Macaca mulatta: one gene and its partners. The protein of the gene in region 3 purifies or fractionates together with the protein of the main gene of each other region. This does not show direct contact. Links are inferred from orthologs where the notes say so. Each region holds a gene or a part of one and is shown on either strand. Other genes may lie near its edges. The genes, in order: ATP2A1, ATP2A2 and PLN.

What was found.
Region 1: the proteins of PLN (region 3) and ATP2A1 purify together in Homo sapiens (affinity purification with western blotting, with the first as the bait; 3 studies listed by BioGRID). This does not show direct contact. The link is inferred for Macaca mulatta from reciprocal best matches to the Homo sapiens genes PLN and ATP2A1.
Region 2: the proteins of PLN (region 3) and ATP2A2 purify together in Homo sapiens (affinity purification with western blotting; 4 studies listed by BioGRID). This does not show direct contact. The link is inferred for Macaca mulatta from reciprocal best matches to the Homo sapiens genes PLN and ATP2A2.

Annotation. Positions count from the first base shown.
Region 1 is NC_133425.1:28,052,481-28,057,427, forward strand, and holds part of ATP2A1 (sarcoplasmic/endoplasmic reticulum calcium ATPase 1), read right to left. Parts: intron 3,881-4,947; coding exon of another isoform or gene 3,851-3,880; coding exon 3,770-3,850; intron 912-3,769; coding exon 826-911; intron 675-825; coding exon 377-674; intron 1-376. UniProt on the Homo sapiens protein: Key regulator of striated muscle performance by acting as the major Ca(2+) ATPase responsible for the reuptake of cytosolic Ca(2+) into the sarcoplasmic reticulum.
Region 2 is NC_133416.1:117,503,202-117,508,148, reverse strand, and holds part of ATP2A2 (sarcoplasmic/endoplasmic reticulum calcium ATPase 2), read right to left. Parts: intron 3,839-4,947; coding exon 3,716-3,838; intron 3,617-3,715; coding exon 3,398-3,616; intron 2,136-3,397; coding exon 1,800-2,135; intron 549-1,799; coding exon 328-548; intron 1-327.
Region 3 is NC_133409.1:23,532,356-23,536,505, reverse strand, and holds PLN (phospholamban), read right to left. Parts: upstream 2,272-4,150; 5' UTR 2,191-2,271; coding exon 2,032-2,190; 3' UTR 1,426-2,031; downstream 1-1,425. UniProt on the Homo sapiens protein: Reversibly inhibits the activity of ATP2A2/SERCA2 in cardiac sarcoplasmic reticulum by decreasing the apparent affinity of the ATPase for Ca(2+).

The DNA of each region.
Region 1 (4,947 bases), on a different chromosome or scaffold from region 3:
CACAGTGGCTCACGCCTGTAATCCCAGCACTTTGGGAGGCCGAGGCGGGCAGATCACGAGGTCAGGAGATTGAGACCATCCTGGCTAACAGAGTGAAACCCCGTCTCTACTAAAAATACAAAAAAATTAGCCAGGCGTGGTGGCGTGTGCCTGTAGTCCCAGCTGCTGGGGAGGCTGAGGCAGGAGAATGGCATGAACCCGGGAGGCGGAGCTTACAGTGAGCCGAGATCATACCACTGCACTCCAGCCTGAGTGACAGAGCAAGACTCTGTCTCAAAAAACAAAAAAGAAAAAAATAAAAAAAAGAAAGAAAGAAAGAAAAGGAGTCTTTGCAGATGGGATTGCAAATGGGAGGAGAAAAGAAAGGCTTTCGTACCTTCGGGGATGGCAGCCACAGCCAAGGCCACAGCAATCTTAAAGTAGTAGATGGCCCCACGGATCCAGGAGCCCCCATGGACAGGGTCGTTGAAGTGGCCAATGTTGATGAGCCAGACAGCCACACAGATGAGGGAGATGACCTTGGAGAGCTGCTCCCCAAACTCATCCAGCTTCTGCTGCAAAGGGGTCTTGTCCTGTTCTGTGGCAGCCATTTGGTCTCGGATCTTCCCAATCTCAGTGCCCACGCCGGTGGTGGCCACAATGCCCAAGGCCTTGCCAGCTGCAATGTTGGTGCCCTGGGAAGGGAAAGAGAAGGCAGGGAATCAGGCAAGAGGTGACCTTCATGCCGCATTCCCCCACGCCATCTCTTCTCACACCGCCATGTTTCTCTCCAACCCGGGCACCTGGCTTGACTAAGCGTGTGACAGCTGGTCCCAGATTGCTCACCGAGAAAAGCATGTTCTTCTTGTCCTGGTTGACAGCTCGGGGGTCAGGAACGGGCTCCGTGTGCTTGATGACAGATACAGACTCGCCTGTGGAGAAGGGGCCAAGGGGTTTTCAGATGACATCATGTCCTTCTCCCAGGCTTCCCACGCCTAACTCCCTGCTCAGCAGGACAGCTCCTGGTAAGGACCAAGTAACCATCCTGGGGGATGTCTGGACTCTGGAAGAAGCCACTGAAGGCAGCTAGGAAGTCCATTGCTCCTTTTTTTTTTTTTTTTTTTTTTTTGAGACAGAGTTTCGATTTTGTTACCCAGGCTGGAGTGCAGTGTCAAGATCTCAGCTCACTGCAACCTCTGCCTCCCAGGTTCAGGCAATTCTCCTGCCTCAGCCTCCCAAGTAGCTGGGATTACAGGCACATGCCATCACACTTGCCTAATTTTTTTTTGTATTTTTAGTAGAGACGGGGTCTCACCATGTTGGCCAGGCTGGTCTCGAACTCCTGACCTCAAGTGATCTGCCCACCTCAGCCTCCCAAAGTGCTGGGATTACAGGTCACCGTGCCCGGCCAGAAGTCTACTGCTCTTAAAAAGACCTTGAGCCGGGCGCGGTGGCTCAAGCCTGTAATGCCAGCACTTTGGGAGGCCGAGATGGGTGGATCACGAGGTCAGGAGATCGAGACCATCCTGGCTAACACGGTGAAACCCCGTCTCTACTAAAAAATACAAAAAACTAGCCGGGCGAGGTGGCGGGCGCCTGTAGTCCCAGCTACTTGGGAGGCTAAGGCAGGAGAATGGCGTAAACCCCGGAGGCGGAGCTTGCAGTGAGCTGAGATCCGGCCACTGCACTCCAGCCTGGGCGACAGAGCAAGACTCCATCTCAAAAAAAAAAAAAAAAAAAAAAGACCCGAGCCCGGCTTGACCACTAACAAGCTGTGTGACTAATCACCTAACTTCCATGTGCTCCTCTGTAAAATGGGGACAAGGACATGTACACTGCAAAACAATATATTGGGTAAAAATCAAATAAGTGGACATATTTGGAACCACACTTTCAACTGTCAAGCATGTTTCTGGGAGGAAGGGGGACCCACCCTTAGAACCATGCCTCCCTCACCCTAAGAGCAGGGACTCAGCAGCAGGCCTGGGCCAGCCTAGCCCTTGACCCCTGGGACCATGGGGAATGTTTTCTGCCTCTTCTTCGCTTCTCCCTGCCAGTGCAGAAACAGAAGCAGCTATGGTGGTTTTATAGAGACAGGGTCTTGCTCTGTTGCCCAGGCTAGAATGCAGTGGTGTGATCATAACTCACTACAACCTCAAACTCTTGGGCTCAAGTGATCCTCCCACCTCAGCCTCCCAAACAACTGGGACTACAGGTGTGCAGTACAATGCCCAACTAATTAAAGAAAAAAATTTATAGAGATGGGGTCTTGCTCTGTTGTCCATGCTGGACTGCTGTGGTAATCATAGCTCACTGTGGCCTCAAGCTTCTGGGCTTAGGCAATCCTCCCACCTCAGCCTCCCAAGTAGCTGGGACTACAGGTGCACATCACCACACCCAGCTAATTTTTTAAAATTTTTTTATAGAGATGGGGTCTCGCTGTGTTGCCCAGGCTGGTCTCAAACTCCTGACCTCAAGTAATTCTCCTGCCTCAGCCTCCCAAAGCACTGGGATTACAGGTATGAGCCACCACACCCTGCCTAGCAGCCATGGTTTTCAGTGTATCTGAACCCCCTATCTTGTCACAGAATCTCATGTCTCCTCCCTGGAGGATTTTTTAGGAGGCTGAAGGAGACAGGACAGTTCTCGAGGTGTGTGTGACCCTATGTCCATGTGGAAGGGGTAGGCTCGCGGCTATCTAGAGAGTGGGCAACAGCGTCCAGCCTTCTCCCACTACTCATCCCATTTCAGGCTTGGGACAGATGGAAACATCAAGCAGGCTGGGCGCAGTGGGTGGCTCACACCTGTAATCCCAGCACTTTGGGAGGCTGAGGCAGGTAGATCACGAGGTCAGGAGTTCAAGACCAGCCTGGCCAAGATGGTAAAACCCTGTCTCTACTAAAAATACAAAAATTAGCTGAGTGTGATGGTGGACGCCTGTAATCCCAGCTACTCCAGAGGCTGAAGCAGGGAATTGCTTGAATCCGGGAGGCAGAGGTTGCAGTGAGCCGAAACTGTGCCGCTGCCCTCCAGCCTGGGTGACAGAGCAAGACTCCATCTCAAAAAAAAAAAGACTCCATCTCAAAAAAAAAAAAAGAAAACGTGTCAAACAGTGCTGCCACTGCCACAGCCACTGCTAGTGAGCCAGGGGGAGGCCCCAGTGCTGGTTTTTTTTTTTGGCTTTTGCTTTTTTTTTTTTTTTTTTTGAGATGGGGTCTTGCTCTTGTTGCCCAGGCTGGAGTGCAGTGACATGATCTTGGCTCACTGCAGCCTCAGCCTCCTGGGTTCATGCGATTCTACTGCATCAGCCTCCTGAGTAGCTGGGACTACAGGTGCCTGCCACCATGCCTGGCTAATTTTTGTATTTTTTGGTAGAGACAGGGTTTCACCATGTTGGCCAGGCTGGTCTCTAACTCCTGACCTCAGGTGATCCACCCACCTTGGCCTCCCAAAGTGCTGGGATTACAGGCATGAGCCACTTTGCCCAGCCTTTTGTTTGTATTTTGATAGAGACAGGGTTGCCCAGAAAGGAGTGCAGTGGTGTGATCACAGCTCACTGCAGCCTTGACCTCCTGTACCCAGGTGATCCTCCCGCCTCAGCATCCTGAGTAGTCAGGACTATAGGCACTCAACAACATGCCCAGCTAATTTTTAAAAATTTTTTTAGAGACAGGGTCTCTCTATGTTGCTCAGACAGTGAGGGTTCTCTGTCTTTCCACTCACCTCCCCCTTGTTGCCTCTTCCTTCCCACATCCCACCCCCAAGCATCTTCCCACCCAGGCCAGCAGACCTGTCAGGATGGACTGGTCAACCCGCAGGGTGGTGGATTTGATGGCGAGGATTCGGATGTCTGCAGGGACTTTGTCTCCCACTGTGGAGAGAGTAGGGAAGAGGGAGGTCACTTGGGAATGGAATTTTCTTCCTTCCTAAGAAAAACCCAATCTGTGTCTGACTCATTCTCCTCATCCATCCTTCAGGTCTCAGGGAGGCTCCCAGGGCTTGCATCAGGCCCTTGGCATGAGCTCCTGAAGCTGGCAACCACCCATCGTGACACCCATCCCTTCTGCCCCCGTGTCCATGGCGAGCTGGAGTCTCATTCTGTTCTCAGGTTGGTCTTGAATTCCCACATCTCTTCCCACTGGCTGTGAGCCCTGAGAAGGGATGGGCAGGCATACTGCTCAGCACATAATACATGCTAAATAAATGCCCACTGAATGACTAGAGGCGAAATTAAGGACAGTCCAGCTGTAGGACAAGAAGCTAGAATTGAGAATGGGAGACAGGAGTGAGAAAGACAACGAGGAAAGGCAAGGAAAGAACTCAGGGAAAACAGGGTGTGTTAGAGAGAAGGGGTATTGGGGTGAGAGAATGAAGTGGACAGCCAGGGAAGGCAGGGAGAAACGGGAAAATATGGAAATTGAGAAAATCGAGGGCAACCAAGAGAACAGTGGAGGGCAAGGCAGGAGAGGAGTGAGCGGAAGGTATGAGTGGGCAGGACTCAAGGCAGCAGGGGGCGTAGGGTGGTAATGGAGGGGACCACATATCAGGAACCTGACAGCTGGGTCTGAGCATCTCAGGGAGGCAGGGAGGTGAGGAGCTGGGGAAAGTAAGCTGGGAACATGGACAAGACAGGACGGATGGGGCGAGAGAGAAGCGGGGGGGTGAGCAGGAAACAGGTGTGGAGGAGCAGGGCCGGCAGCACAGGCTGGAGAGTGAATGGGTGGAGGTGAGGCCAGGGAGATGCACAGGTGGGTTGACAGACACATGGAAACCACCTTGGGGGCGGCTGGAGAGGTGGATGCCCAGCCAGACTCAGAGACCTTAGGAGGAGCCTAAGAACCTCCCAGGGCTGCTGCCTAATTCCACACTGGTCCCACGGATGGTACTGGGGACCGGATCCAATCGCTTTCCTTTCCCTCTGTTTCTAAGGCCCCCTCCTGTGCCAGAGGAAATGGACCCAGGAGGGAG
Region 2 (4,947 bases), on a different chromosome or scaffold from region 3:
CAAAAAGATAAATAAAAATTAAAAAATAAGCTGACTGAGATAAAGCCAACTTTTGGAGGGCAAGAATTTCACATGACTGTCTGGTTAATTTAAGCTCAGTTTCATGTTAAAGAGGATTCTTTGCATGTTGCGGCAGCTGCAGACAACCCTCCCGAGGGCCAAAGCACCACTGCTTCCATAAGGCATTTCTGTCTTGCCCACTCCCCTCTTCCAACTCAGGCACAAAGACCAAAGCTGCTGCAATCTGGAGAGCAAACTGGGAGAACTGGGCTCCACGACCCATTTAGATAAAGGCATACAGTAAGTGATGCTGTCACAGAGACCTACCAGACAACTTCCCCAACGTTGGACGAGATGAGGTAGCGGATGAACTGTTTCATGTTGTTGTAGATTGCCCGCCCCTCCTCAACGGCAGCCACTATGGTGGAGAAGTTGTCATCCGCCAAGACCATCTCAGAGGCAGTTTTAGCCACCGCAGTGCCAGAGCCCATAGCAATGCCAATCTCAGATTTCTTCAGAGCAGGAGCATCGTTCACGCCATCACCAGTCTGAAAGGGAAAGCAATGGTTGGGTCAGCCAGTTGGCATGGCACACTCACACCCCTGGGCAAAAGCCCACTGAATGGGAACCAGGAGGAAAATGAATAGAGCCGTAGGTCTCTTGACAAAGAGTTATAGAATTTTTGTTTCTTAAGTTGGTGTCACAAAACACATTTTACCTAGGAAATGTAAAATTACCAAATAAGTTTACTGAAGTGGGACAAAGGGGACTTCAAATTTATCTGTATTATCTTACTAAAAACAAAAACAGAACCTATGTGGCAGTCAAGAGGAAGTACTTGTATCCACATGGATAAATTTTAAGTAGAAAGGTGAAGATTGCAAAAATATGCAAATTTTTATGTTTCTGAGATGGAGTCCTACTCTGTCGTCCAGGCTGTAGGGCAGTGGCACACTCTCGGCTCACTGCAGCTTCCGCCTCCTCGGTTCCAGTGGTTCTCCTGCCTCAGTCTCCCAAGTAGCTGGGATTACAGGTGCCCACCACCACACCCAGTAATTTTTTGTATTTTCAGTAGAGACGGGGTTTCACCATGTTGGCCAGGCTGGTGTTGAACTCCTGACCCTAAGTGATTCACCTGCCTTGGTCTCCTAAGTGTTGGGGTTACAGGCGTGAGCCACTGTACTCGGCCAAAAAATATGTCTTCAAAAACATGCAAAAATAATATTGTCTACAGACACAAAACCAGCACTCCCATGTTTTTAATATTTTTGCTGAATTCCAACTTCAGTTACCTCTGGGGGAGAGGAGAGTACACTTACAGTATGTTTCAAAACTAGTATTTTTTTTAAAGAGAAGAAAGTAAATTTAACATAATATATCTGGATGAAAATCAGGTGAGGGGAAGAATACTGGAAATGCTTCATTAACAGCCAGCTCTTAAAGAACATCCAACTTAAAAGCAGGGCAATCCAAACACAAGGTGACAGACTGATTACATCCTCAATTTTTGGAAAACTTAAGATAAAAACACGTCTCCTTTAAAAAAGAGACTAGGATCACCAGATTGTTCCTCTGGGACTGATCTGGAAGGCCCTTCAGGGTTTTAAATGACTCTAGGATCTTCCCTGCAAGTAGCACACAACATGCCAATCACTGATTCACTGAATTCTAGAGAAAATACCCAAATCATGACAAATTCCAAATTAGGGAACTATGACAAAAAAATCCAGTGGTCAAAATTAGAGTTCACTGTGTGCTTGTGTAGCCCGAGTCACCTGTACATGTTCAAACATGCTCACCATAGCTGTAATCTCATCAAAAGACTGAAGAAATTCTACAATTTTAGATTTGTGGGAGGGTTCAACTCGAGCAAAACAGCGGGCGTTCAGGCAGGCATCTCGCTGGGCAGAGGGGTTGAGTTCATCAAACTCCCGGCCTGTGAAAGCTTTTGACGTCACATCCTCATCCTGCCCGAAGATGCCGATGCGGCGACAGATGGCCACAGCAGTGCCCTTGTTGTCCCCAGTGATCATGATGACCCGGATGCCTGCTTGCCGGCACAGCTTCACGGAGGAGGCCACCTCGATTCTTGGAGGATCCAGCATGCCCACGCAGCCAACGAAGGTCAGATTGGTCTAAAATAAGAGCATCACTTTAAATAAAAGTGGCAAATTCTAGGTTTTGTCCCCCAGTTTGAAAAATGCCCAGTTAAACATTGAGACAGGCTTCTGCATTTTCTTTTCTTTTTTTTTTTTCTGAGGCGGAGTTTCACTCTTGTTGCCCAAGCTGGAGTGCCATGGCACAATCTCAGCTCACGGCAACCTCCGCCTCCCGGGTTCAAGCAACTCTCCTGCCTCAGCCTCCAGTGTAGCTGAGACTACAGGTATGCTCCACCACACCTGGCTAATTTTGTATTTTTAGTAGGGACGTGGCTTCTCCATGTTAGTCAGGCTGGTCTCGAACTCAGGTGATGTGCCAGCCTCGGCCTCCCAAAGCGCTGAGATTACAGGTGTGAGCCACTGCGCCTGGCCAGTTTCTGCATTTTCTTTTTTTTTTTTTTTTGAGACGGAGTCTCGCTCTGTAGCCCAGGCTGGAGTGCAGTGGCCAGATCTCAGCTCACTGCAAGCTCCGCCTCCTGGGTTCACGCCATTCTCTGGCCTCAGCCTCCCGAGTAGCTGGGACTACAGGCGCCCGCCACCTCGCCCGGCTAGTTTTTTTTGTATTTCTTAGTAGAGACGGGGTTTCACCGTGTTAGCCAGGATGGTCTTGATCTCCTGACCTCGTGATCCACCCGTCTCAGCCTCCCAAAGTGCTGGATTACAGGCTTGAGCCACCGCGCCCGGCCAGTTTCTGCATTTTCTTATGAGGAAAAAAAAAAACAAACCACTACACTCCTGTTACCAAACCATTCTTTAACTCTTGTGCTATTCTGAGCCCACTATACCAAAGCTTCTTCATTTTGTTCACAGCTTTAGGATGTCACATCCTTGATCTTAAAGAATTCTATTCTAAGCAGAAAAGTGGAAGGAATCTCCAACTTGGACCTTTTGACCTTCAGTAACTAATGAATATTCTAGAAATATCCCCACTTAAAAAAAAATCATGATTTAGATGAGCTGCAAAATGGGGTTTACAAGCTTATTTAAGCTCATCTTGATTATTCTACTTTGAAAATATTCTACTTTGAAAATAACAGACTTTTATGAAATTATTAACTATGTATGTTTGAAGCGGCAATCTAAATTTTAAGGGTGACACAGCTGGCATGGAGAAAAACAAATAACCACACCTCTTTCTTGGCAAAAGTGAGAACTGTTTGACCTTTTGCTTGAAGGAGTACTGTTTAAACACAATGAATCGTGCCGGGTGTGGACAAAGAAACTTTTCATTAGCTAACCTCATATTTAATAAAGTTGGCAGAGTCTTCAAGGTGCATTTCTTCTCTTCTCAGTGGGTTGTCGTGAGTGGCCAGGGCCAGGCATCGCAGGGTGTCGCTGCCACTACCCCACTCTCGAATGACAGACATGATCTTCTGTTTGACTCCAGAGGTCATAGGAACCTTAGTACTTCCAACTCGAATGTGGGTGCACCTGTCAATGACACCTTCAGGAGCACCCTGGAAATGTTACAGATTTAGATCAACAATTTTGTTTTACTGGTTCACCAGGATCTTAACCCTGGTAAGAACATCTCAATTGCAATCTGCCATACTTGCCTTCACAAACATCTTGCTCATTGATGTCCTGCTTGGTTTATTTGGTGTACAATAAACCGACATTGACTTTCTGTCACGTGAAAACTCGAGAGTGAATTCCTTTTTCATCAGCTGTTTAATGACCTACAAAGGGAACAAATATGGAATACTACTGGGTGGCAATTTCTGAACTTTTTTACCTAACAAACAGTAAGCACCTATTACATGACAGATGCTAGGGATATAGCAATAAACAAAATGGACAAGTTTTTGCCCTCATGAAACTTGTCCCCTATTTTAGGGGAGAGAGACTAAGATGCAAAAGTAACACAAGTGCTATGGAGAAAAAGGGAAGGGGGAGAAAATTTGCGTATGTACAGATCATACTGTTACCTAAAGTGGTCAGAAGACAGTGACATTTGAATAAAGATGGCCCCATGGGGCCTGAAAAGATGTGCATGAACCCGTTGGGTGGTGGTGAAAACCCACCAGGCAGAGAACGGGAAGTGCAGCCTGGCAAGTCCTGGAATGGTGAAGGAGTGCCAATGTGGCTGGAACAGAGTTTACATGAGCAAAAGGTGAGACAGGTAATGGCAGAAGACGGTAGAAGCAGGTCATAATACTTCAAAAGTCATTATGGGGCATTTGGCTTTTATGACAAGTAAAAAAGGAAGACAATGGAGGGTCTCAAGCTCTAGTTGTCAAGAATTGGCTGAAGGTGGTCAGGTGCAGTGGATCACCCGAGGTCAGCGGTTTAAGACCAGCCTGGCCAACATGGTGAAACCATCTCTACTAAAATTACAAAAATTAGCCAGGTGTGGTGGCAGGCGCCTATAATCCCAGCTACTCAGGAGGCTGAGGCAGGAGAATCGCTTAAAGCCAGTGGGGGCATAGATTCTAGCGAGACGAGATTGCGCCACTTCACTCCACCCTGGACGAAAGAGCAAACTCCGTCTCAAAACACAAAAGAATTGGCTGAAGGGAGACAAGGAATGCCATTCAGTACAATGACACTGACTTGAACTAGGTAACATCAGAGGTGAAGAGATGGCCCCAAGCAGAGCTGTCCACCAGAACTTCTGAAAGATGGCAGTGCTGTGGCCACTGTTCATGTGGCCGTCACATGTGATGGATAAACACTTTAAGTGAATATGGCTAGGGCACCTAAGGAAGTGTTTTTAGGTATTCTAAGTAGTTTTTTTTTTTTAAAGTATTCTAAGTAGTTTTAGATAGCTAGTGCCTACTGATTATAG
Region 3 (4,150 bases):
AACACTTTCCACTCCCCATCTCCAGTACCTCTCATGGGTTCAGAAAATTTAATGGTGTCTCCTTCACTATTGAGTTAGCAACACTTGTGTAAGAAACCAAGGTCAATATTGATGTTATATATTCTTTTAGTAATCATGTTTTAGAAGATATGGTTAATTACACATCCTCTACTCTTTTAATAATAGTTATATTAGTAACATGTCTTCAACTGAAATTAAAATTGTTGGATTATGCAGTATAGGTGTGAACTATTTTAAACTTAATTTTAACCTAAGTTTGGTGAACATATTTTCCAGCACTAAATTTTACTTCAGTTGTTTTATGAGTTATTGGAAGATGTTCTGAAATGATCAGAGGAGAAATTGAAAATTTATTCATCAAGAAAATAATTATAGGTAACATTGCTGCATCTATAATTAAGCTCAGTAGAGTGGCCTACGAAATAGATGCTTGCCATTTGGTTGATAGATGAAGAAAAATAGCTATCTCCTGTTACAGTTGACCCTTGAACAACAAGGGCTTGAATAGCGAGGGTCCACTTATACATGAATATTCTTTTTCCCCACTCTCCACACCCCTAAGACAAGATTGCAAGACCAACCCCTGCTCTTCCTCCCCGTCTTTCTCCTTCTCTTCCTCCTCTCAATGTGAAGACAATGAGAATGACGACTTTTATGTTAACCCACTTCCATTTAATGAATAGTAAATATATTTTCTCTTTTTTACAATGTTCTAAATAACATTTTCTTTTCTCTAGCTTACTTTATTGTAGGAATACAGTGTATAATACATATAACATGCAAAATATGTGTTAATTTACTGTTTATGTTATCAGTAAGGTTTATGGTCAACAGTAGGCTATTAGGTAGTTAAGATTTTGCAGACCCATGGATTGTCAGCTCCCCTAACCCCCATATTCAAGGGTCAGCTGTAGATGTAATAGATGGGCCAACAAGTTCATTTCAAAATATAATCTAAGAATTAGTTAATATTTGGAGAGAGAATTCATATTTTTATTTTTTTAAATACTTGAGATAATATTTTTTTTTGTCACTGGAAATCTTGTATTATTTTCCTTGCCTGCATTGGATGTTAGGTTGGAATGGAAGACAACCTGTAAAATCAGTCTGAAGTCTTAAGGTTTCATGATTCAAAAGATACAGCGTGGTAAACTAGGTAACTCTAGGTCAGATAATTCACTACAGTGTCTTAAATGAAGATTAGATTCTATTCTGTTAGTATATTAGTGATATGACTAATCTCACTGTTACATATTAACCCCCAGTTCTCATCTGTTGATCATATGTCTTAGAACAGATTTATGGTTTACCTACAGGTACTAGAATTCTGTGATTCTTTGAAAAAATTACTTAAGAGTAATTTTATTATGTAAGAGTATGGCCTTACTTTTCCATACTTGATTCTCATCAACTTTAAAAAATGTTAATGTGGCATAGCAAAAATGCAATTTCTGTTTTAGAATGTTACTACAAAGAGTTACTACAGAGTTCTTTATAATAAGATAACAGATGTGAGGAGTCAGTGGACTGTTTTGAATAATGACACTTCATTTGTGTTATTACTTTGATACTTGGTGAAGACTTGAAAAACAGTATTAAAGAAGCTTTTACAGTGTAATATAAGTTATATTCACCTCAAAAGAGTAAAGATAATGCTTTATATATGAAGTGAACTTGTTGGCAGTGCAGTTTCAAAACTAAACTCTTATTTCATCTTCAGAAAAGATTTGGGATACAAATTTGTGAGCCATGTTGAGGAAATCAACAGTTACATTTTATACACTTATTTTAAAGTTAATTTTTGAAAATAAAGCCCTTTTCATGTTTACAAGATCCAGCAGATGAATACATTTGCTAACAATAAGTTTTAGTCTTAATCTTGACCTTTTCACAAAGAAACTCTTCTACTCAGGAAGTGGTCTGTTTTACAGTATTGTTTTCCCGTCTGCATGGGATGACAGATTTTAAGCTGATGTGGCAAGTTGCAGATCTAGAGGTTGTAGCAGAACTTCAGAGAAGCATCACGATGATACAGATCAGCAAGAGACATATTAAGATGAGACAGAAATTGATAAATAGATTCTGTAGATTTTGACGTGCTTGTTGAGGCATTTCAATGGTTGAGGCTCTTCTTATAGCTGAGCGAGTGAGGTATTGGACTTTCTCCATGATACCAGCAGGAGAGGAAGTCTGAAGTTTTAAGTGATTGAGAGAAAGATAAAAAGCTGGTAGCCAAATATGAGATAACTGTCTTCTTTTAGGTAGCCTGGAATGTAAAAATAATAAATAGATTAGAATAATATATGTAACCTATTATCAGGACAAAAAATACAATGTTGTATTAATTCATCTTCCTCAGCACTATTGTTATTTATAACATCAAGTGTTTCTATAGTCTCTCTCTCTCTGTCTCTCTCTGTGTGTGTGTGTGTGTGTGTGTATGTGTGTGTGTGTGTGTGTGTGTGCGCATGTGTTTCCATGTGTCTCTCTTTCTCCTTTTTTGATGGGGCACAACATGACAGTCTCATTTGTGTTAGGAGTAGTAACTTCAGTCTTTGCCTTTTTCTCCCAAATTTACTACAAGTATTGCAGTAATCCTCAGTGTCATCCATAAGTTCCTGGAAACCAAGACTTTATGCAAAACAACATATAACAAAACCATTTTTACCCTAGGCTGATTGATGTAAATAAGAGGTAAGTTCCTATAGCACATTTCTGGTCACAAGAACATCACCAAACTTCTCAATAAAGACCCAAACACTTCTAATATTAAACGTTGAGAGAAATATGAATTATATGTACATTTAAGAAAGATTAATAAAAACCAGATAGGCCGGGTGCAGTGGCTCACGCCTGTAATCCCAGCACTTTGGGAGGCCAAGGCGGGCAGATCCCCTGAGGCCAGGAGTTTGAGACCAGCCTGGCCAACATGGTGAAACCCTGTCTCTACTAAAAATATAAAAATTAGCTAGGCTGGTGGCATGTGCCTGTAATCCTAGCTACTTGGGAGGATCGCTGGAGCCCAGGAGGCAGGGGTTGCAGTGAGCCCAGATCATGCCACTGTACTCCAGCCTGGGTGACACAGCAAAACTCTGTCTCAAAAAAAAAGCCAACAAAGATAATTACCCAGTATTTCGTGAATCAGTGAGTAACAGTGGTTGTGTTGGTCAATTAAAAACATGGAATCAATGTTTGAGAAATACAATGGGATCTCTGAGTGCTTTTGTGCCATAGCATTTATTGTCATGCATTTGTATGATCACCCTAGACTTTACCAGTTTTTATTTGATAATAATTTGTATTCATCCGTTCATTCATTTTTCAACCCTCTTATTCTGGTTTGGGGTGCTGGTGGCTGGAGCCAATCCCAGCAGTCAAGGAGGGAGGAACCCACCTTGGATAGGAGACCACTCCATCACAGGATACACTCATCTACACACTCACACTCAACCCAGGACAACTTAAACACGCCAGTGAACCTAATGTGCACAGTTTTGGGATATGGGAGGAAACGAGAGTCTCACAGATATGGAGAGAACATTCAAGCTGCACACATACTTAAATGTTATAACAAAATGACATAGAAGGAAATGATGTTATTTGAGGACCTGCTGTATTTGGTTTAAGGTACAGCTCGTTTTGGGTTATTCTTTTGGGTAAAAGTTCTCACATATAGTTTCTTTAAATCTGTTACACTGTAGATGTAATTGGTTTGATCAGTTACTGTATTAATAGCTCCAGAGCCAATCTCATAAAAAGGAAATGCATACAACAAATTGTTCCCTGGATCTTGATTTTAATCCAAAATAAAATAGTGTTAAATGGGAAGTGTTTTACCAAAAATACGGATTGAAATTGTCATTCCTTTTTATGATTTTATAGCTTTATAGAATGTTATCTTAACTAACATTTTAATAAGATTTGATTTTAAGTACTGAAGACTATCAAGCTTGGAATGCGTAGTAATTATTATTATCTCACCATCTACCACAGACATTTTCTATTTACAGACCTCTACTTAATAGCAGTAGTTTCCATCATGCCTTCTTTCAGAGATACCACAAGCTATTGCTGCCTGTGGGGTCTATACTTTGATGATTAATAAAACAAATAAGAACTTACATGCTAT